Lepisosteus oculatus: one gene and its partner. The protein of the gene in region 2 interacts with the protein of the main gene of each other region in a biochemical or structural test. Links are inferred from orthologs where the notes say so. Each region holds a gene or a part of one and is shown on either strand. Other genes may lie near its edges. The genes, in order: mef2d and cabin1.

Region 1 (11,450 bases), on a different chromosome or scaffold from region 2:
GATGACCACCCCCCCCCACCAGTGCTGGTCGCCTGGAACCACCTGGGTGAAGCACATCCCTCAATAGCAGTGCCACAGCAGGGACTCGAACCCACAACCCCCAGTCATGAGTCGAATGACCTGATACACTACTCCACTCTCTGTCATGAAGACAGAGGGCTCCAGAACTTCATCTTAAGTGTCACTGCCACACTGCTTCAGTGTTAAATTAGTCAATGTCTGACTTTAGCGTGGTGCTGCGCTCAGATAGCGACTTGTTGTTGTGTAACTGTGATACAGAGGTTGTCAGGCTTATCGACATTCAAAGCCGTTTTGATCACCGGTTTATTTTTTTTTGTAACCAATTGACTTTTGCTTTAAAGATCTCCCCATCAGAAAATAGAGTTTCCAACTCCGCAAGACTCAAGGCGAAGAGTTCATCAATGCATCTGCTGAAACAAGGAGAAAAGGGGCTTGAAGTCTTTCTTCACATGAAATACTAACATTTTCTGTTTTTTTCCTGTTCCTCATGTCGACAAAACTTCACAAATAATCATCATTTTTTCATAAATATTGGATGAAGTGTGTAATTATTATTATTATTATTATTACACTTACATAGCGCTTTTCTGGACACTCCACTCAAAGCGCTTTACAGGTAATGGGGACTCCCCTCCACCACCACCAATGTGCAGCATCCACCTGGATGATGCGACGGCAGCCATAGTGCGCCAGAACGCTCCCCACACATCAGCTATCAGTGGGGATGAGAGCAGAGTAATGAAGCCAATTCATAGAGGGGGATTATTAGGAGGCCATGATGGGGTAAAGGCCAGGGGGGAAATTTGGCCAGGACACCGGGGTTACACCCCTACTCTTTTCGAGAAGCGCCCTGGGATTTTTAATGACCACAGAGAGTCAGGACCTCGGTTTTACGTCTCATCCGAAGGACGGGGCCTGTTTACAGTATAGTGTCCCCGTCACTATACTGGGGCATTAGGACCCACATGGACCGCAGGGTGAGCGCCCCCTGCTGGCCCCACTAACACCTCTTCCAGCAGCAACCTTAGTTTTTCCCAGGAGGTCTCCCATCCAGGTACTGACCAGGCTCACACCTGCTTAGCTTCAGTGGGTTGCCAGTTGTGAGTTGCAGGGTGATATGGCTGCTGACGTAATGCAAACTCTAACCAGATAGCAGTGCGATGACTCTTCTGAGGGTTTATAGTGTAGATTGCACGACAGCAGCACTTATTAATGAGTTCGATTAACACAATTGCTCCTGCATCCATGTGCACTAATTTAAGTCCAGTTTCGTTGCTCTCCAAAGACATGCATGGCTACAGCAGTCTAGCCATGTACCAGGAGTTATGGTGCTCAGTGTGTAATAGTGCAGGACTCTTCCTCCGAATTCTGGAGGAAGGGGTGGGCAGGAATCGAACAACCCCCCCCCCCCATCCTTGGGGAAGGCAGATGCCTTCTTTGCCCCCCCTCCTTCTTGTCTCAACATAGAAACACACGAGCGGGTCCAAACCCGAGGAGCTGTTCGGCCCCGTCCAGCCTGTGTGGTGGCCAGGGATCTCATCCAGGTGTCTCCCGAAAAGGATCCATCAACAGGTCGGGGCAGCTTGTTCCCCACCCCCACCCCTCTTGGCGTAGAGCCGCGCCTGCCCGCTCTCAGTTTCGAATGCTCTCCCACCCGGTGTCCACCCGCGTCCCCTGGCTCCTGCTTCGCTGACCCCTCTGAGGAAGTCCCCTGGCTGTGACGCTGTCTGTCCCCCTGAGGACTGTCCAATCTTCCCCAGGTTCTCTGTTCCAGACTCGGTTCCTTCAGCACGCCCCTCCCTCAAACCCTGGAATGTATCTGATGGCAAGGGTAGTGTCCACAGGCATCTTTCTGGACGTTGTCCTCTCTTTGAGCCCTGTCCACTACAGACCCAGGGAAGAGGCATCCCCCTCACTGGCCTGCCATCTGTTCTCATTGACATTTCCTCTACAGATTAAGTGTAAGCTCCTTATACACACAGATACAAAAACCCGCTGTAATCCACCGTCCTGCTGGGCCTACTACACACACGAGTTTATCCTTCGGTTCGTTTTTTCCTTCTCCGGAGTGTATTTTTAAAGACCGCCAGCGATGCTCGTTCTATTTTAAACCCACCGTTCACTGTCTAGCCCTGGCTAGGATTGGAAAGAAGAAAAAATAACAGCACCTAAAATAACTTGTTTTTTGTTGGGTTTTTTTTAATAGAGCTGGCTGGCTCCGTGCAGCGCGCGGCTTCCTTCATGCGCGGGCGCTCGTGCGAGGGCTGCCTCCGCTGTCCCTCCGCGAGGGTGGCCTGCGCGCGGGTGCCACAACCCCATGGGCGCTGGACTCGGGTTGTGACCAAGTATTCGTCCCCCTCACGGCCGTCTACACTGGCGCCTGCCACTCAAACAAGACTTTAGTTCATTCAAAGTAATCTACGTGCAAAAAACCAAACAGTCACATTCTCACGATCGCTGTAGGAAAACTCACAGCTCAATTAAATCTGCCTTTCAGGTCTGTGGTCGACTGACCCTTAGCACGCAGTGCTGGATTCACATTAGTAAGGTTTCGTGCTTCTTCAAAGTGCCTTTTTAGTTTTGACTATTGCGCTATCGTAGCTGCTTGCCGAATGAAGATGAGCGTCAACTTCCTGAAGAGTTCAATCTTAAATGATCACACCGGCTGCAGCTACAACGCCCTAAGGAGAACGCCTAAGTGAAAAACGAAATGGGACTTTTCTCTTAAAAGTATGTTCTTTTTCGCAACCAGCTTTTAAAACTCCCACTGCGATACAGTCTGCTGGGGCGTGTGCGGGTCGCCGAGAGCCGTTCAGTCGCTGGAGGTGTGAGGGTGTCAGACAGCAGGGGTTTTTACTGTATTCCTCACGCCCGTCCAGTTTGGAGTCGCGGACTGTGTTGCTTACAGTCAGGCTCACAGTGACACCACCTGGACCGGGACTGAATAAAGGCCCGGGATCGCCCCCCAGCTGTCCTCGCGAGTCAGCGCCCAGTCCAGTCGCCACCTGGAGGTTTGCGTGACAGGGTCTGCGGCGCCCCGCGGGGGAGTGAGCGCTGATTGGAGGATCTGCGCTGATGTCACAGCAAGCGCGAGAGCCCCTTATAAAGCCTCAGAGCCAGAAGACCCCTGGCTGACTATCTCCACAATGCTGAACAGTTTTTTTTCCCCTCAAAAGGCTTTGTTACTTCAGTGTTAGGAAAAGCATGACAATTATTTTTAAACTTAGATACACTTAATGATGGTCTTATTATTGTACCTGAGTCTTAGTCCTTATCTTTTTATACTAACTACCAATTAAGCACTTTGCAGTTTTCTATTAAGTACATAACTGCTTATTAAAACGTTGCTTAAGGCTGGGAGGCTACCTTACTGCCACTTACTGCAGGTGCAAACCCAGCTCCAGATCAACTGTACCCTTTAATTGTATAACAGTTCATAGAGAAAGAAAATGCATATCTTTTCTGACGTATTACTGCGATCTTCTTTAATGGCTGAGATTTCGTCTAAAATGTAAACAACAGCAAAGCGCGTGTGGTCCGGGTGACATTTAAATCGGTCCGGGTTGCTTTAACTTCCCCCACATGCTGACCGGTAGTTCTGGAGACTCTGACGCAGTTGTGACGTACGTGGAGGTGTAAGGAGAATTTGGAGCGAGGCGTTCTAGAATAAACGAGACATTCTGTCCTGCCGCCCTCACCCCGCGTGGCTAAAGAGCGCGTGTGGTCCTATTGGAGGGACGCTACTGGGGTCTGCAGCAATATTTCAAAGGTCTGGCCGCTCCTTCCCCCAAGACACCACCTGGTCGCTGTCCTACTTTGCTTCATTTTCTCCCTGCCCTGTAGCAGCCTCACTGCTGTTCTCACAGTAAACACTATATCCCTCCGCCGTCCACGTACGAAATAGTCCCTTTTACTTCTTCGACAGTAGTTTTGCTTATTTAAGCCTAATGTGAGGCCTTACTTATTTAAAAAAAAAATGGAAATCTCCATGTCTTACACACGGGGAGTGTGTGTGTATGTGTGTGTGGGGGGGTCTTTTCGGGCAAAACAATATCACGAGTTTAAGGATCGGTTTGAGGTGTCGGTGACACAGTTGCCTCTTTCGCTCTTTGGCAAGAGATGGAGGGGAAGAACACTTTTCGATTTTGACGAGCGGCTTGTTTATGACCCGAGGCGCTGTCGTTGCTTTCTTTCTTTTTCGAAAGCGCGAAGCCGGCAGCCGGGGAGCACCTTCGCTGCAGATAAACACAGGGCAGCGCAGAGCTGTTGGAAGTTTTGCCCTCATCGTCTGTAAAGGTCACCCGCACATTCCCGCTTCGGTACAAGCGCGCAGCCTGGACAGTCCGGCCCAGGAGCCAATGAGCACACCCACGTCCGGTATTCGAGGCATCCCGAGCAAATTCACACCATAAAACTATTTTGATAATAGTGATAATAATAATAATAATAATAATAATAATAATAATAATAATAAGGAACAAGTAATAGGTTTATTCCATGCTGAAAAAAAGAAGAAAGAGAACACAACGTTTCGGCTGTGGAGCCTTCTTCAGGTGTCCTGAAGAAGGCTCCACAGCCGAAACGTTGTGTTCTCTTTCTTCTTTTTTTCAGCATGGAATAAACCTATTACTTGTTCCTTTGCAGCCTACGCATGCTGACGCAGCTACCCACCTGACATAATAATAATAATAAAACTTTATTTGATATAGCGCCTTTCAATGTGGCGTCTCAAAGCGCTTTACAGAATGACAACAACGATCAATAAAAAATTCACCCTATAAAACATAATTACAACGCACAGAGGAGACCGTGGGCGGTGGTACTAAGTGTGGTAGGAGCAGAGGGGTAAAGAATGGAACCAGTTCAGCAAAGGTTAATATCTACATCAATTATCTAAGGTAAGTAAATATCCCATCAAGCCCCTGGGTGGCAAAGTTAACGATATAGTCGGAGGAACCTCCACCGGCCTGGTTCTTTCTGAGAGTAAAGGGCGTGAAAAGTCTGAAACTGCATTCTTTCTTTTTTTTTCCCGGATCTGCGGCACACACAAAAATAGCCCCTTCTCGCGCTGAAACACGCCGTTCCGTTAAATACAGGGCGATTTCGCCCCGGCTGGACTCTTACGTAGGTTAATCATCACCAACTAACAGCTCGCCCCGGGCCCTGCTGATGTATGGGCTCCGGTCAGCATGGCTGGGACCGGCAGCAGTCGAGTGAATTTAAGACACTTCAGCCACGTCGGCATGAACCTCGCTGGTTTAACAGGAGTTCAGTGCTGTCAGTGGAGGCTGGGGCGCGTGTTTTCACATTTTTGGTTTTGTTTTCGTCTTTTTTTTGCGCGTTACTCATTTTGCTGAAGCCTTATGATTAAAAAATATATATATTCCAATGGTTGTTTCACCTGCAAACAATCCGGTAGCTGAAGATTCAGGGTTTTTAATTGTATTTTGTAAACTCGGAGCGACGCGCGCCGGGCCTGAGCGTGTCCATCCTGTTATGTTCACCGTCTCTAATCAAGGCACCTCCCGAGCTGGAACGTTGTCTGTGTCGTAAGTCGTTTTATCGTTCACGCAACGACTCAAATCCACCCGTGAGCCCTTAAAAATGGTGTTTAAATCATGACGCCACAAGACTTTGCCTTGTGGAAAAACAAAATACAAGCCGTGCGCTGGCAGAGGTGAAACAGCGCAACGACCTCGCTCCTGAAAGAGAGGGGGTGCAGTTTCCGAACTGTAGTTTCTACTGCTTTCCAAGTCGATTCTATTCTTAAATTATAATATATATATAATAATAGACACATTTTCTTTTGAAAGTTACAAGACAGGTCTGTTGCTCTTCCAGGATGACAAGTGTCAGTTTTTTGGGGGGAAAAATTGATATGATTTTTGTTGAATTGCTATTTTAATAAGACTTGGATTTTATACACACTTGAAAGCAGAAATTTGCAGCTCACATTGTGGAGGCTGGATTTCAAAATGCAACCAGTGCTTAAAACAATGCAATAGTTTTTAAAAAAGTCGCTTTTGAAAATTCCTTTGTGCCATAGTAGCTTTTGAACTTTTAAAATCAATATATAGGCCAACTTTGGAGCAACAAGAGTAGAAGTTAGAAATTAAAGGAAAATAATAGTATTCTAACTTAATGCTTGTAGTGTTAGATTAACATTTTTTGTTAAATAAATTATTTTATATAATGAGGATGCTATATTAACAGCGCTGGGCCAGAGACATACGCTGTCTGCATATTTATGTCATGTTGCGAGATAATAAAAGGATCATTTGTGTTGTATTTGGCTGTTCAGTTTTTACTGTAGATTATTTTACAAACCAAAAAGTAAACCGGTTATGAAAAAAAAATTAAATTAACTGAAGTGAAGAGGATCAGTACCCATAAAGAGGAAGAATCGTACTGTTGGTGTTTAAAAATGTAAGGCGGAAAAAAAAAGGCCTGTACCTTTAATAGAGACATTTCCTTCCAAATAATCCAAGCAAATCTAATTGACAAGGCGGAGGGATACACACTCGTCAGTCAAACTTGAACAGCCCCCCTCTCCCTCCCCTTCTCCTCTCTCGCGTTTACACAAACAACCTATCCTTTCTGCCCGCGTCTCATTGGTCGCGCCGCGCCAGCCGCCGTCCGCGATTGGCTAAGGGACACGCCACTCAGGAGAAGAGGGCCATCCAGGTTAGATTGCACGATACTTTCTACATTGTATCATTTGACTGAACTAAATAGTTACCTTGTACAGCCAAGACGGGGGAAAAAAAGAGAGGGGGACGGAGTCTTTTTTTAAAAAAAACAGAACGACGTCCTTTATTGATACTTTTTTTATCGTAAAGGAAATAGCGCTACCCGTTGTGCCTCGCAGCTGTGGAAAAAAACATTCTCGGGTGAGTGAGACATTAGATTCCTTCCTCTGGCGTTTTTGACGTCCGCACAGTTGCTGCTGCTGCTGCTGTGGTTGTTTTTGTTTTGCCCCACGAATGTCGGTTCGCTTCTCGCTCCCTTTTTCACAAGTTTGTCGTGCTCAGCCGGTGCGATCTGGCCCCCGGAGCGGGTCCGGACACCGTCGGTTTTGCTGTTTACTCCGGCTTTCTCCGTGCCCGGTCTGTGGTCCTCTTGTCGTTGCTGTTGCTATAATGGCTGTCGGCGATCCCCTCCACCCCTCTCCAGTCTCCCAGGGAGGCTTTGGGAAACAAAGATGGGTTCGAGACCCATTTCTGCGTGTTCGCCTTGTCCTCCAACCCCGAGAACATTGCGTGGGGGTTGTTTTTCCCCCCCTCTGCTCTTCTGGGGGCGATCCGCGCTCCGTGTCGTCGTCAGGGCCAGCCGTCGTGACAGGAGCTGTCAAAACCCCCCGGCTGAAGCTGTCAGCGTGGATTTGGTCGCGCTGTGGAGACGAACTGTGTTCATTTCCGTGGCACGTTTTCGAGTGGATGTGTTGTTGTTGTTTTTTTTTCATGACAGGGTGGTATTTTCCTGAAATATGAGTTGAACGCCGCTCCAAAATAACATTCGCGCGTGTATGTGTATGTGTGGGGGGGGGTTATTCGGAAAATGGTTCGTGTGCTGTATTATTTACTTGCATAGAAAAAAATGAATGTTTTGAGATGTTTAAAATGAGGGATCGCTCCTCAGGAGGGTATGCCTTGAAAGTGGGTTGGCACTGATCAAACAGTTGGCAAAACGAGAACAAGCGTCTTTTTGGGGGGCCATTCGCGTAGGAAAGCTAACTCTCCCGCCGCCCGGGTTGTACCGTCACCATCAGACGACCCCTCGGCGGCGGACTGGAGTTGACGAACAAAAGCTCCGTTTTCGTCACGAAAGCGCCGGCCGGATCCGTTTTCGAGAAAGAAATGCGGGCGGCTCTCAGGCGAGTCCCGCACTGCGTGTGGAGCCAGTCTGTGGGGTGGCTGTTGGTGGGACGGGGACCCCCCGACTCGCCTGACCGTTATTTTTAGGGAGGTTTGGATCGACCGACCTACCGCCGAACCCAGCACACGCGCTGTACCGTGCCGCGAGCCGCTGCGTGTCTGCGTGCTGCTGCTGACGACGACGACGTCACTGCTTCGGAGGGTGCCCGAGCCCTCTTTTCCTGCGCGTGCGGCTGTACCCTACCCCAGACCGCCTTGTTGAGGGTGCGAGGGGGTCTGTGTGGAGGAGTTGGGGTACAGAATGGGGAGGGGGCGACCGCCTGCCCTTAACGCGGCGACTGTGGGAGCTCCGTCTGCGAGGGCCCCGTCCCGACGTGAAGGAAACAAGGCGTCACACGTTTTGTGTTGACACGGAGTCTCGTTGCCGCCCGCCCCCTCCGCCAAAAAAGTCTTTTCCCCCTTCCTCTCCTCAAGTAACGCCGTGTTTGGTAAAAAATAATAATAATCCCCATCAGTATTATCATTATTACTGTTAATAAATACTTAACCCCCACACTATTGACGTTAAAGTGGCTGTGACGCCAGGGATACTGTACTGTACAGTAGAGAGAAAATATCAAACCCGCTGGTCACCATAGAAACACAGAAGTGTGAACTCTTCTCGTCGACGCTGCCCCAGAAGGACCATCGCGGCAAAAGGGAAAATGAAGCTTTAAAAAACGTTCGCCGTGTTTAATTTGATGTCCCAGCTGAAAGAAACCCGTTAAACACGGGATCCGTTTTGAAACGTGTCCGTCCCGTTGCTATAGATTTCGGACTTCGCAAAAGCACAACAGATCGTCCGGCCCGCCCGCTTCATTTGGAAGGCAAAGCAGATTTTGAGTCCGAATCTCGAGTTGGAAGCTGGGTCATCGCTTTAGTGCAGCCTTGGTTCTGGTCCTGGGATTCGCTGCTACTGGGCCCTGTATTTAATCAAACTGCTGAAAGTGGCTGGAGATGTTTAATTAGGAAATGACGTACTGTAGTTAAGAGCTTTAAAACAGACAAATGAGAGGAGTCATTTGTAGCCATTAACAGTTATTTGATCCATGTATCTCAAGCCAAAGTATTGGCTTTAACCGCTTGGCTGGGCAGCGTGTTCCACACTCCCACAACTCTTTGTGTAAAAAAAAAAAGGTTCTTGGCTTTAACTTGTACAAAGTTTCCACTTGTGTCCTCTGGTTGAACAACTTCCCACACCTAAGGAGCTGAAAACAATCAGTTACAGTTCATCCTGTTTTTCTTTCAGTGAGGGGTCAGGGCAGGAGCCATGCTGGGCTCAAATCAGAGCTGTGCAGAACTGTGAAAGGAGTGTGATGGGCAAACCTGAGCTGTGTCCGACCTGACGCCCCACTGGGCTTCAGGCAGCATGCGGGGGGGTCACTGCCCGCGGCCCGCGGACAGGGGGAGAAGACGCGACGTTCCGGTTGTAGAGGGCGTTCACCTGCAGCCTGTGAGCTCGCACAGCCCCCCTCGTTTATCCCTGTCAGTCCTGCCCTGGGCTTGTGACCCAGTCCTGCCAGCGCAACACTGAATTTCCCTTCCGGTCCCGCAGGGCCACGCCGGCCTCCTGGTTTTTTCTCCATCCTGGACTCGGTTCGGACCGACGAGTTCCGACGGAGCGATGTTGTGAAATGGTGTTTTGTGTCCTGCGCTGTTGCCCTATCTGCTGTAGGTTGAGGGGCTCTTGTTGTGGAAGACAAATGAATACAGGCGAAATCAACTCTTCCCGACTCGGTTAATCAGCTGTTCCTTTCACCCGGCCAAGCACTCTGTGGCCAAGTGTTGTGAAGGGCACTGCCCCTGGTAAAACGATTGATTGATTGAATGGCTCTGTTAGCCAGTTAGCCAGTTCTTTACTTGCTGAGGCTGACGCGCTGGCTGTTAAACCTGGTGGACTGTGGCTCTCCAGGGCCAGAGGCGAGTGGAGTTGCTCTCTGAGCAGAGGCAGTGAAGTTCGTTATTTCCCACGGAGACCCTCGCTGCAGAAACTGTAAAAAGGCTTGGACACACGGCGTTTCCGCACCGCCAGAATCAATGCAGACCTCTCGAAACCGACACATAACTGCTTTTAGTGCACTGTTGTCTTAACCCTGCTTCTGGAGAGCCGCGCTCCCACAGGGTTCTTGGATAACCATTAAATTGTTCATTTCTCCACGTCTGGAACGATTTCATTCTGATCAGATAAGCAGGTGGTGTTAAACTGAGCGATTTAGCGGTCATCTGGAGAATAATTCACAATACCCTTCAACCCTCAAGGACCACAGTTGCCTTAATTGAGCACACCTGCTGTTTTGTTTGTTCCAATTGAGCGCTGTTACATGATTGAACCCAAAATTGACCTAATAGGATTAACTTGAACTCCTTGTTTTCAGTTCCTACACATCAGAGGCAGACCTGTTGTGTTTCACAAGTCATTTACAAAGCTCAGATTATTTTTTTTTGGGGGGGGGGAATGCTTTCTGATTCTGAAAGCAGTCAGAATCAAGGAGCTCATTCCATTAAGGAGTCAATTAAGTGAATCGGCTTAATTGATTGTTAGCTTTCGTGTGTTCCCAATATTCTGCAAACACGAATGGGGCTCTCCAGGGCTGGTGTTGGAGGCTATGTTCAGGGTCGATGATCTGTGCTCAAGGGAGCTTGTTAACATCTTCTGATTAAGCAGAACTGTGACTATAACAAAGTCCAGAAGATAACAGTGGCTTTTCTGGACCAGAGAAGCTCTCTTTACTAATCTTCTGATGTTAGATTAGAGCTTGCAGCTGGACCTGTGATCAACCTAGAGGAAGATTTTTTTGGGTAATTCTGACGCAGGGGTGTTCAGTCAATATCACCGTTAGCTCCTCAGCCAAGCACAGTGTCCAGTGTCCAGTGTCCAGTGTCCAGTGTCCAGTGTCCAGTGTCCAGTGTCCAGTGTCCAGTGATCCCTCTCCTCTCTTCTGCGCCTTTGTCTAGGTCAAGTTAATCTTAACACCTCTGAATGGCAGCACATAAGAGGAACTGTAATTGTTGATTATCGCTTGGCATTACTAAAATAAATATACCACAACGCACGATGCTGTTATTTTTGTATATTTTGTATTGGCACTATTTCTTAATTTTGTTGCTAGCCATATTGCAGATTTGGTGGTTGCCCTGTTCTAATTTTTCTTGATTTACTTGAGCTGTTTGCAAGACATCTGACCATCTGATCAGTGGAACCCTTGGTCGACAATGAGAAACTAAACCAGCTATGCAATTCTGCTTAGTCTGTACATTCATTTAATTAAGTTTAGAGGTAACATGCAGGGCCTGTTCTATGTCAAAGTGATTGATTGATCTGGTGTTGGCTGGCATCCCTAAGTGGGATTCTCAGGGCCAGGTTAGGGAACGCTGACCACATAATACTCTCCCTTCTGGTCCTCAGGGACTCCAGTGTCTTCTGGCGTTTTCCCTGCCGGTCTCTCAATCGCCAGTGTGAACTGGTGCGTCTGCCCCATGTCAGCTTGCTCGTCCTCTGCACTCGGGCCTGGGTTT
Region 2 (11,911 bases):
ATTTGACAAAATGGCACAGTCCCAGAATGAATTTCAAACAAAAGAGCCATTTAAAATACAAATGTTATAAGACTTAGGAAGCCAACACATGCTTTCAACCACTAAACTGATAGAATAATGTTGAACCAAAGTGAATCACAAAACAAAGCTAATCAACTGAATACTAAAAAAATGAATTATAATAGTTTAGAATTCTTCTTTACAATTATACCTTTAAAACAGCTAAAGCGTTATACATTACAAGCAGGCTCAAGTCCAGAAAATTATTTCTGTTCAATAGCATTCCAAACATAAAACACCTACATAATTTACATAAACAGACACAAGAACTTCAGTAATCACCTCTGAAGATGCGGAGTAACATCATCGCTATCACAGATACACTGATGTATTTTAATGGATCATTACAGCAAATCAAACCTTCCCAGGCAATACACCATATTTGTCACACACATTTGTGTCACCTGTGGATTATTTGACATGTAATGGCTACATGACCAACAGATCATGATGTAAACACAGACGGCACCTACCCAAACTGAACTAATCTGGCCGTTACTGATAATTCACCTCTCGGCACGATTTTGAATTCCCTCTGCATTTATCGACAGGTTTTACACAAATAGAGCACCAATCCTGTTCCTTACCTTTCTGGAAGGTTCGCCTTTATTTGATACGTTTTAAGTAATTTTAGCAATGAATTTCAAGGCACATAAAAACGGTCAGTCATCATTTGTACATATTCAATTCAGCTTTTCGGAGTCTAGAGGGAAAAGCCTGTGGCTAAGAGCTGATAAAAGGCTGCCCTGTGGCTGTGTGATGTATAATTGATCAGAGACAGTTTTCCCCCCTCTTGAACTCCTAGTGGAGTTAACGACTTGGTGACAGCAACCTTGCAGACTGCAAAAACTTATTTCAATCCACAAACGGCTTCATTAAAACTAAGCCAAAAGAAACATTTTACATTGGACCGTACTTATTTTGGAAAAAGGAAAAAAATACCCAGATATGAACTTATCTTCACTGGCCAAGCAAAGGTTTAAAATCCATTTGTTTTTTAACCACTTTATCCAATACAAAGTCACGGAGCAGCTGGAATCTATCCTGGTAAGCGACAGGTGCAAGGCAGGACACACCCCGGATGGGACACCAGTCCATCGTAGGGCTCACGCAGATACAAACACACGCACACACTCACACTAGGGTCAATTTTCACAGAAGCCAGTTAACCTACTCGTATGTCTTTGGACTGTGGGAGGAAACTGGAGCACCTACAGGAAACCCACACAAAAACAGGAAAAACATACAAATTCCACGCAGATCTATTTCCAGGGCCAGAATTGTACCCAGGGCCCCTGCTCTGTGAGGCACCCCAATCAATGCTAACCACTAAACCACTGTGTCGTCCAAAGTTCAAAATGCCAGTTAATTTTTTCAGCATCGCAGGCAAGCACCACATTCTTCTGATCAGCTATACATTGGAATGTAAGAGTACCTTTCTTCCCATTACAAACCCTTTCTCAATACCATGTCTGTTTAATGCACCATCTTGTGTCTTCCATAACTGCAGGCAGTTTTACAACAAAACACTGTTGGCCTATTACTAAAGAAAATCTGAGGCACATGTTATTATTCTATTCTTTAACCACTTTTTAAAGATTTTACAAAGCACTTATATCCACCTCTAACTGGCCCACAGCTCTCCACCTTGCAGGTGGGGGTACTCACAGCTGTAGTCGCTGAGTGTGTAGAGCACAGTGATGAGGTTGTCCAGGCAGGGCCAGTGGTCGGAGTTGCAGCGCAGTCCCTCCTCAAAGGCGTGTCTGGCCAGAGGGATCTTCACCAGCCTCAGCGCCACCTGGCCAATCTTGTACCACATGTTCACATCGGTGGCATCCAGGAGGACGGCCTACAGCGCAACACATACAACTTGTAGCTCCGGCAAAATAGCACAAAGACACAAAATAAAAATATGCTACTCTTTCTCAGAATTATTTCTGTTCCCTTTCCTTCAGAACTAATCACAAATGATAAAATCTATTATTCTATTATTAGACTAAACCCTAACAATCTCAGGTCTGCTTTGGCCACACACTTGCACTGCAGCCTGCAACAATTTAGGGATATTTGTTTGTAGCACTATATTCAACAGAAATTAGTGAGTAATTCCACTAATAAATGAGCATGTACTAAACAAACTGAAAAAAACAATCCCCCTACTCCATTTACAGATGCCATTTAACAATAAGAGCTTCAGGAAGCTTATCTAAAGAACAATGATGTGACCTGTGCAAATTAAAAGGGGTAATTCCACTACAGAAGCTGGAAATTTATTCTCAGCTGTAGTGGCTGTATTAACTGGGAGCAGTGGTTCTGTGGCTAAGGATCTGCGCTTGTGGCTGGAAGGTTGCCGGTTCAAATCCCTCGGCCGGCAGAGGAATCCTACTCCGTTGGGCCCCTGAGTAAGGCCCTTAACCCCAACTGCTCCAGGGGTGCTGTATAAATGGCTGACCCTGCGCTCTGACCCCAAGCTTCTCTCTCCCCGTCTGTATGCCTATGTGTCTCAGGGAGAGCATGCTGGGGTACAAAAAAAAGACCAATTCCTAATGCAGATAAGTGATCTTATCTGATCTACCTCCAGGTAGAAGTCCATGGCTGTCTCCAGGTCATCCCGCAGTGCGGCCAGGCTGGCCAGGTTCTTGTAAGTGGAGTATTTCAGCATCAGCCCTGGGTGCTTGAGCCCTATCTTCTCAACATCTGAAGGCACCGCCTGGAAAATCCAGGGAGAGAGCCCAGGTCATGGAACTTGAAAGCATACTTTTGTGAAAAGCGGGTTTTAGAAAGGTTTCCAACAGTCAACTGCCTCATTTCATTCTTTAGTGTATTTACATTTGGCGTATTTATTAATAGATAGCCCGACAGAAAGATGGACAGATGAAAAAATGAAAATGCATCCATTTGAAAATATTTACCAACTTCCCTAGTGCAAGACAGCAACAGTTTTATTGACGATATGATACAATAATATTTTTATCTGATTTCTCAGAAATTTGTTTTGCCTCCAAGCAGTTATGTTCAACCCACAGAGAAACAAAAATAAAACACAGAAACAGTACACATAAAAAAATATAACACAAAACACATTAACCCAAACAAAAACATTACTCACCACTTCTACAGGAATCCAAGTTTACTTTCCAACAATCACCCAAAGATCCTAGAAATATTTGCTATTTATCCTGTATCCTAAGTAAAATGACCTGATCTGTAAGTCTATGAACACTAGTCACACAACGCAAAAGATGTATTTTGTAAGTCGTATGATGATGGGACAATTCACCATTGTGTACATTACTGTCTCACCTCTTTAAGCAGCGGGGTCTCCAGGAGCTCGTGATAGGCCTTTGCAGACTCCTCAAACCGGTCATGTTTCTGGAGGTCCAGAGCTTTGTGGTACAGAGCAAATGCCTCTGCCTCCTACTCAGAGAAAGAGCGCTCAAACTGTGCAACAGTCTGTACACTGTTCAGACCTTCAGCTTTCCGCCTACCACCAAATACACAAACACCTACCAAACTGCTGCTTCCCCCATTAACACAAGAGCAAACTGGGCACATGCTTGAAGAGCAATGCCCCGAGCCCGTTACAGAAGTGACCCTCTTCTGAAAGCGTAGTGCAGTGTAAAACTCGGCCTTGGCGCAGGACTAGTTTGTTGGCGTGCGCGGCCGAGTCATCTGCTGTCTAGGAAGAGTCACTGGACAGAACGGAGCCCAGGGGCAAACGGGATCAAAGCCCAGCAGGAGCAGAGGAAGATGCGCTTATCACACATGCATATTCCATACTGATTAATATAATAAAATATAATCTCTCCGCGTGTGTTCTCAAAAATGGTTTTCCCAACTCCCACATCAGAAAGACTACAGAAAATAAAATGATCCTGCAGCTAGGATCACACCCTTGTCTCAACACCAGGCTAATTTTCTTCTAAATTCTCTCTGTTCACTGTAGGTTTAATTTCACACCACCGAGTGGCCACTCTGTCTGTCCCCTGCTCCCACCCCTCCTCTCTACCAGCTTTTGTTCTCCTGCTACTGTACATCACCTTTGCTTACTGCCCTGTCTTTCTCACACCTGAAGAAGGCTCCAGGGCCGAAACGTTGCGTTTTCTTTCTTCTCTTTTCAGCATGGAATAAACCTATTACTTGTTCCTTTGCATAATAACATATATTTTTTAAGATATAAAATGCCTGAACCCTATGAACAGTATGGCCCAGGAGAGCAGGTAACGTGGGTATTAAGCCAGAGGGAGCTCACCTGGGCCTCCTTGGTCTGCGTCTTCCTGGTTTTCTGCAGGTCATCGTGTTCGTCCCCAGTTGCCGAGGCCGCATTCAGTGCAGCGATTCGGATCTGGAAGTAAAAGCCAGGGTCAAGCCTTCAGGAGGTCACGATGAGCCTAGACCACACCTATTTCAACTCCAGGGAAAGACCGGGTGAGAGGCCACGGTGTCACGTCGGGAAGCGTTTCCCAACAAGCGCGCCATCAGACATCAACTGGTGCGCTGCCCAATTCCAAACCAGTCCCACCTGGAAATAATTCACCGACAAAACATATCGGCTTTTCCAGGCCAGCAGGCAACTGCTGCGGCCAGGACCATATCACTTTTTAGTGAATGCCGTAAAAACATGTGCCTTAGGCTGGAAAAGGTTCGCAAAAACCAACACAGGAAGGAAGCCAGTTTAATAAAACCCCTACCAGGATGCAATGTGACCAAGAAAAAGCTTAAAAATGAGTGAAACTTTGAATGTATATTCATGCTCAATATAATCCTATATTACTATAATTATATTACAAAGTGCCATTAAACTGAATATGCAATGCAATACTTTGTGGAATTTGAGACCCTAAAGAATGACTCCTTTGTTGATTCATAAAATAACATTTAATTATTCATTCAAAATCACTGCTATGTCTGAAGTGTGGGGTTCACATCAAAACAATTACAATTTGTATTAAACCCCGAAGAACAGCAGGCCAGTCTGTGTAATTATTTAATTGATTAACTTAATAAAAATACAAAAATTAAAAGAAATCAATATGGTTTTCTTCACACGTTGCTCTTCGAGAGAAAATAAAATGTACCATTGTTTTCTTCAGCACCAGATTCTTCTTACTTCATGTTGAGAAGACCTGCAATAAACAGCCTTTTTCAATGAAATGCTTTATGACAGAACTATCGCGATGTTTTTGTTTTATTCTTTGATACAAACTGCAGGCATTTGTTTATCAACACAATCGTAACATACTATACAAGCGTTAAAGTATTTTAAGCTCTCTGATGTTTCTCTGGATCATTCTAAGAAAGGGGGTTCAGGAAGTATATATAATGGACTGTATTTATTAATACTATTAACACGTTATTCACAAAATATTACTTTCAATTACATGCAGCACCATTAATTTGATATATGGCTGCACACCAATATCCCACATGCTAAGGTAAACGTTTGAAATATAACAATTTGCCGAGTAAAACTAAAACCACATTTTGGCAACGATAGATTTCAGTATATTTCATGTATTTATAACATTTAACTCTACCATTTTCAGTTTTTTAGCTGTAATCAGGAATCAATTGGTGCGTTTCCTTCACCCTTTCGCAGCTATACAATAACTCAATCAGCTCCCCAGTGACACAAGCATGTTCTGCAACACTACAAATACTCAAGATTGTATTCGTTTTAAATAAAAGAAACAAACCTAACTGTTGACTTTTATATAAATAGAGGTGCGCAGAACGATGCATGAAATAGCGTTAAACGTATTTTAATTCTTTACCTGCGCTCCTTTCCAAACTGCACTTTGCTTGTCTGTTGTGAAGCATCTGCCAGCAACAGCCTATCCTACTGGTTCAGTCTGGCCGGTGAAATTCAGCCAATCACAAACTCATATGCTGGTAACCAGGCACAGCAGGACTGGGTTCTGTGGAAAGTAACTTCTGTGGACTATTGTCCATATACTCTACATCGGAAAATGTTTGATGAGAGAACGGATTAAACATCTTTTGCTCCAAGTAATTGCTATTTAAACCTGGCCCAAGACAACACAAGATTAACACTATCAATGATAGTATCATGAAGAAGACTCAAATTGAAATATTATCCTTATAATACTGTAATTCGATTTCTACTGTCAACGGTATTTTTAAGGGTAAAAGTGTCTTATTTTACTCCAATTGGAAGACAATATTATTCTGCATGCAGCTATGAAGGGGATAGTATGAATTATAAAGCAATAAACTTCGATTAAATTTCACATAAAAAGGTGAAAGTTACAAAAATGCTTTGTAAATAAACACATTTAACCCAATTTATTTTTTTTATTCTACAAAAGGAATGTTCATATTTCCAAAGGAACAAATGACAATGACAAGATAATTTTCAAGTTTATTCATGGACACCGCGGCAAATAACGTGAATGTTTTGTTTACATACAGAAGTAATTACAGCTGAAGAATGCTATCATTTGCATTAAATTAAACCAATGCATTACATTAATTATCATTAAAGCGCCCATTGTTAATCAGATGTATAGGTTTTAACTATTTGTGCCTCAGCCAAGGCAGGTCTTCGGTGCCTCAATAACGCTGATGAGACCCACTTTAAAACTAAATCCCCACATTTCCAGGACATACTTGGTACAAGTGACATTTTTTGTTAGCGTTTTCACAGCTCCGTGAAGTTGCCCCCCCTACAGACAGCACAAACGATGAAACCCACCTCATTCATTAGTGCTACGTTTGTGCCGGTTTGTGCTGTTGAAAGTAGCGTTTGTGCTGTTTTCGTTCCCGAGATATAGCACCTTGTTTTCCCGGTGATCACATGACCATGCACAGCGACTTTGACCTCGTCTGCCGAGTTCAAGCGCTCTGTTACAGTTTAGCTCGTACCCTTAACATTTTAAAGACAATCAATATCCATAAACATATGAGCCGCCTTAGATGTGATTTATACTTAGACATGACGCACGCCAACAAGTTAACTATCTATGACATAAAACTGTGGTTATAATGTATGTAAAATCACCGTGATTGTAAGATCAATGTTTTTTATTATCTAAGACGCTTTTCTTTTCTTTCCCTACCGTGACACGCTGTTTCCAAATGCGTAACTGTGGGATACCATCGCGACAAGACCTCCGCAGCATGTCATGATAGGGACCCCATGTATAAGGCATGTATATCGCGGCAGTGTATATCACGAGTGGCGCCTTGCTTCCATGGCACCCTGGCACCACTGTCACAACAAAGGTCTCATATCAGAACATGATATACCCAGATAGGACGTGTCCCGATATATGGACTTTGTGTGTCGCATATATGGACTCCAAGTCTCGATATGGGGGCGGGACATTTTGTCGGGGTATGTCATATCGGGATATACAGGTTTCATGTCGCGACATGGGCGTGGCAGTTTTGGTCATATCGCGATATATAGGGCTTCATGTCGCGACATGGGCATGGCAGTTTTGGTCATATCGCGATATAGAGTCTTTCATGTCGCGACATGGGGCTGGGCATTTTTGCTGGGGGATGGCATATCGCGATATACAGTCTTCATGTCGCGACATGGGGGTGGGCGTTTTGTTGGGGGTACGCTATATCGCGATATGCCGTCTCCATGTCGCGACATGGGGGCGGGGGCGTTTTGTCGGTATGTCATATCGCAATATATGGACTTAATGTCGCGCCAGTCGCAATGGGTATCGCCATGTGATCGTGATGCGCGCACTCCTATCGTGACATGCTATCGGAGTCGTGAACGCGCTGTGGATACCATGACATTCTTTGTCTGCTATTCTGTTTAAACCTCAGGGCGACTTTGTGCGAGATTGATCAGTAATCGGAAACCAATGGATGTGTTACTGTTACTGTGTATCCAGCGTGCTCATACAGCACACACGGTACACAGAACTTCCGCTGTGGCGCTTTACCCAATCAGAGTGTCGATTCTCACTCTTCACCCAATCGCGGCCCGAGCTGTTCGGGGGTTTAGCCAATCACGGGTCCGAGAGCTGTTCAAGCCAGCAGCGCCAGGTGGATCGGCTTGTTCACTGTCAATGAGAAACTATTTTTAAAATGCTTTACTTATTTGCAAAATAACTACATCGGCTTGTTTTTATTGACGTCTTTATTGATTCACAATGTCCCGTACCCTTCGAAATAAATACATTTATTTGTAGTATAACTGTCTCCGCTGCTTTCCGTAATGAATACGTGGTATTTGAACAATTTTAATCGTATATTTAAGGTATGGGAAACACCTTCTGCTTTGTACTTCAAAAATAAAATATAAATGTAAGTCTATGATCGTTATATTATTATGCTCGTACTTTCAATTCTGTTTTTAATTGTTAAATTATCTCGATCTTGAAACCAATACCTAAAAATGTGAATATGGGCTCTCGTGTTGTACAAGCGGTCATTTGGAAACTGGTGTCTCTTCAGCAATGAAACGAGTACACAAGCAATACATTTTCGAGAACATGGTTAAATGTAAGACTGTTTATTCATGTAAAGGCTGCAAAGTCTGGGGTCAACTGATCAAAATCAAAGAAGGTGCTATATCTCGGAAACAAAAGCAGCACAAACGCTACTTTCAACGGCACAAACGTAGCTCTAACGAATGAGGTGGATTTCATCGTTTGTGCTGTCTGTAGGGGGGGGCAACTTCACGGAGCTCATTTTCACTAACTGAGAACAAGAGGGCATGATAGAACAAGTGAACGTACACAGTCACGTTAAGGTCTCTCTTCATGATGATTATACCTTGAAATATACAGATAAAGACTTTCAAATGTGGCAATTAAAAAAATAAAAGAGTATCAATCAGAATATCAGCAATGTGCTATAAGCAGACACATGTTAAAGATTTTCTGAGTACCAGGTTCAGGTGGTAATACCTCAATGGGAGTGAGGCATTATGCAGGGTTACCAGAAGACACTCACAGTTAGACAGTTCAGCAGAGCAGACCAATGAAGGAAGAAAGAGAAAACTCAGGGCAACAGAGAACAAATATTAACACCGTGTCAGGAACTCAGCTCACTTAAATACAGAATCTCTTTTTCCAATTAGTCAATACCTACAATTATTTATTCAATTCCAGGCACCAGCATCTAACTAAACTAATGAATATCCTCAGGTCACTCTTTTTAACCTCCTATTCTAACAGAACCAGCCAATACATCACACCAGTTCTCACAGGGGATGTTTTTACACCCAGTCTAGCCAGCTGTGTAGGATAAATCTCAGTCTTACACAGCAGACAAAGGTGCTCTAAAAGCTGCTGATATATTGACCTTCCGTTCTGTTTTTAATGCCTCATAGCCATAAGTAAGAATTTATAACAATCCTTTCATGTTGTTCGTCCTTATAAAGAAATACATCTGGAAAAGGGATCCCTTGACTAGACAACATTCCTTCTTATAATATTTTTTTTTATTTTTGAGTGTGTCACATTGATATCTGTTACATATAAGGAGCACTAGGAATTTATTAAACAGAAAAATGTGCTTCATTCTGCACACAACTGTCAAGTATAAGAAACAATCCACACTCTCTTTCCTGGTGGTGCACTGCAGCAATAATGTGACATTTGTATCCTCATTCTTCACAGGAAGGTCATCACAGTCCCTTTCTTCCCAACTTGCCAGGGTTCGAGAGGCCAGAACCGGAGGACAATCCTATTAGGAGGAAAATGAGAAATCTTGAGCCCCATTTGTAAGCCATTCACATGGCCCAATCGCAATCATTGTGTCCCCAAACTCGACAACTTTGTTACCAAATTCTTAAAATATGTTAACATTAGAAATCTAACCTGAGGATGATACCTTCCTTTGTGTAAAAGAAACTCTTAAGGCGCTGTTTAATTTAACAGCAGGGCTCTTAATAATAAAAAGTATCTGAATTTTCCATATCTTCCTTAAGCCTGCTGGGACAGGCTCCGACTCCCCTATGACCCTGAACTGGAAGTGGTTAGAAAATGGCTGGGCGAATTTTGTGTGAAATTGTGTAAAACTCTGTGGTGGTTTTATTTTTCCCCATAACTGCGTGGTAATATGTGTAATGTGCAGCATCTATCTAAGACACACAGCCTCCAGTGCCACTCTCGGACAGTGGAGGGGCTGGAGGGTACTTGAGGATGCTCTTGAGTGCACTGACCTGTCTTCGCTGAGCCCCAGCTCCTGGGTGAGGAACTGGAAGATCTTGGCACTGTGCTGCTTGTTCTTCTCCGCACTGTCCACCACCCCAATGGCAGAGACAGTGACCTGCACACAAGGAGCTGAGGAGCCAGCCATGAGCATGGACAGGCCTGCCCTCACAGTCAAGTTCATCCTCTGTGGAGGAGAAGCCGAAAACAGCAGGAGTCAAGCACACACAACTGTCCTCTCCAGCCTGGCTAGTCAACAGCTGCTATTAATAATAATAATAATAATAATAACCATCCCCAGGCATATGTGCAATTCATCAAATACACATTCACTGATAATCTGGCAGTGGCATAATTTAAAAAAATGTGAATCCGTGGTTAGAATTCTGGACTCTTAATTGGAAGGTTGTGGGTTCAAATCTCTGGGGGGTCACTGCTGTGTTTCCCTTGAGCAAAGGTACTTCACCCGAAATCTCCCAGCTGTATGAATGAATGGGTGGATGCAAAGCTAAACCCGTTTGGATGAAAGCGCCAGACAGATACATAAGTGAAAGGGGAAACGTAGCTTTCCATCATCAACACTATGCGATTTCCTTCCTTTTAAAACGAACTTTATTTTGCATACAAACTACTCGATGTGGAAGTCCCCAATCCGAAACAATGTATCGTCCAAGTTCGAGGACGCTTCAAGCACAATCAGAACTGCTTCAGCTGCATCCAATATGCCGTGAAAGCAGTTCAGTCTCACACTCACGTCCTCGGGCTTCCCTAGTACCGCCGCCGTGCTGGAGCACATCTTTTTCAGAAACTCGTCGGGAAATTTGCTCGAAGGCAGGTTGCTCTCCAGATCGATGAACGGCATAGCGTCCTCCACAAACTTTATCAATCAGACGAAAGAAGTTACAGAACCTAAGGGACTATACGAGGACACCTCAAGCCGGAAAGCGGTGCAACTTCACTGCTCATTGGCTGCGTCCGCAACGCCTGTTCCGTGGCGTTCTTAAAGGCGCAGAGAGCAAGGAAAACTCCTTCAGTTTTGAAAGCAAATATGTCTGGGTTAAATATGTCTGCCGCCGCATCACAAAATCTAGAAAACAAATGCGATGAACCTGTTTAATGGTATTCACAAAATTGTCTACAGTAAGGCAATGACACAGTGCGAGCATCAAGTTCACTGTATAGTTACAAGAATATCGGATTTAAGAGCCATACGACTTCATGAGTTAATTATTTCCAATAATTATTCTGACCATTGAACATTGAATACTGAATCAAGTGTAGCGTTACTGAGCTCCAAGATCGAATCATTCGTCTATTCAGGAACAATGTGTGTGCACAGGACGTAACCTTCTCTTTATCAGAAGCTCATTTATAACGAAAAGGTGGTCCGGACTGAGAAAAAAAACTCTCTCTTTTGTGTGCATGGACAAAATTCTGCGATGTGCTTTTATGGAACCCTGACATTCCATGATTTCTCTCATGAATCATGCTTGCTTCAGTTGCTGGAGCTCTACTCAGAAATTGCATGCTATAAATATACGTTTTTACTTAAGACATTTTTACTTTTTGTAACCTAAAATTTATGAGGAATGTTGGAAGTAAGATGTTTTGTTTCTAAACTATGCTTTTATCTTTTTTTCTGCTCCCAAGAGCTGGGTGAAGTTGGTCACATCCTCTACTCTATGAAAAATGCTCTGCAAACCTTT

The links.
Region 1: the proteins of cabin1 (region 2) and mef2d form a complex in vitro, tested with the Homo sapiens proteins (2 studies listed by BioGRID). The link is inferred for Lepisosteus oculatus from reciprocal best matches to the Homo sapiens genes CABIN1 and MEF2D.

The regions. Positions count from the first base shown.
Region 1 is NC_090722.1:4,540,786-4,552,235, reverse strand, and holds the start of mef2d (myocyte-specific enhancer factor 2D), read left to right. Parts: upstream 1-6,703; 5' UTR 6,704-6,911; intron 6,912-11,450. UniProt on the Homo sapiens protein: Transcriptional activator which binds specifically to the MEF2 element, 5'-YTA[AT](4)TAR-3', found in numerous muscle-specific, growth factor- and stress-induced genes.
Region 2 is NC_090717.1:9,543,491-9,555,401, forward strand, and holds the start of cabin1 (calcineurin-binding protein cabin-1), read right to left. Parts: upstream 5,910-11,911; 5' UTR 5,835-5,909; intron 5,187-5,834; 5' UTR 5,142-5,186; coding exon 5,139-5,141; intron 4,406-5,138; coding exon 4,313-4,405; intron 3,478-4,312; coding exon 3,364-3,477; intron 2,771-3,363; coding exon 2,636-2,770; intron 1,910-2,635; coding exon 1,729-1,909; intron 1-1,728. Other genes in the region: ddt (D-dopachrome decarboxylase), read right to left, coding at 9,666-9,738, 10,217-10,392, 10,960-11,067. UniProt on the Homo sapiens protein: May be required for replication-independent chromatin assembly. May serve as a negative regulator of T-cell receptor (TCR) signaling via inhibition of calcineurin. Inhibition of activated calcineurin is dependent on both PKC and calcium signals.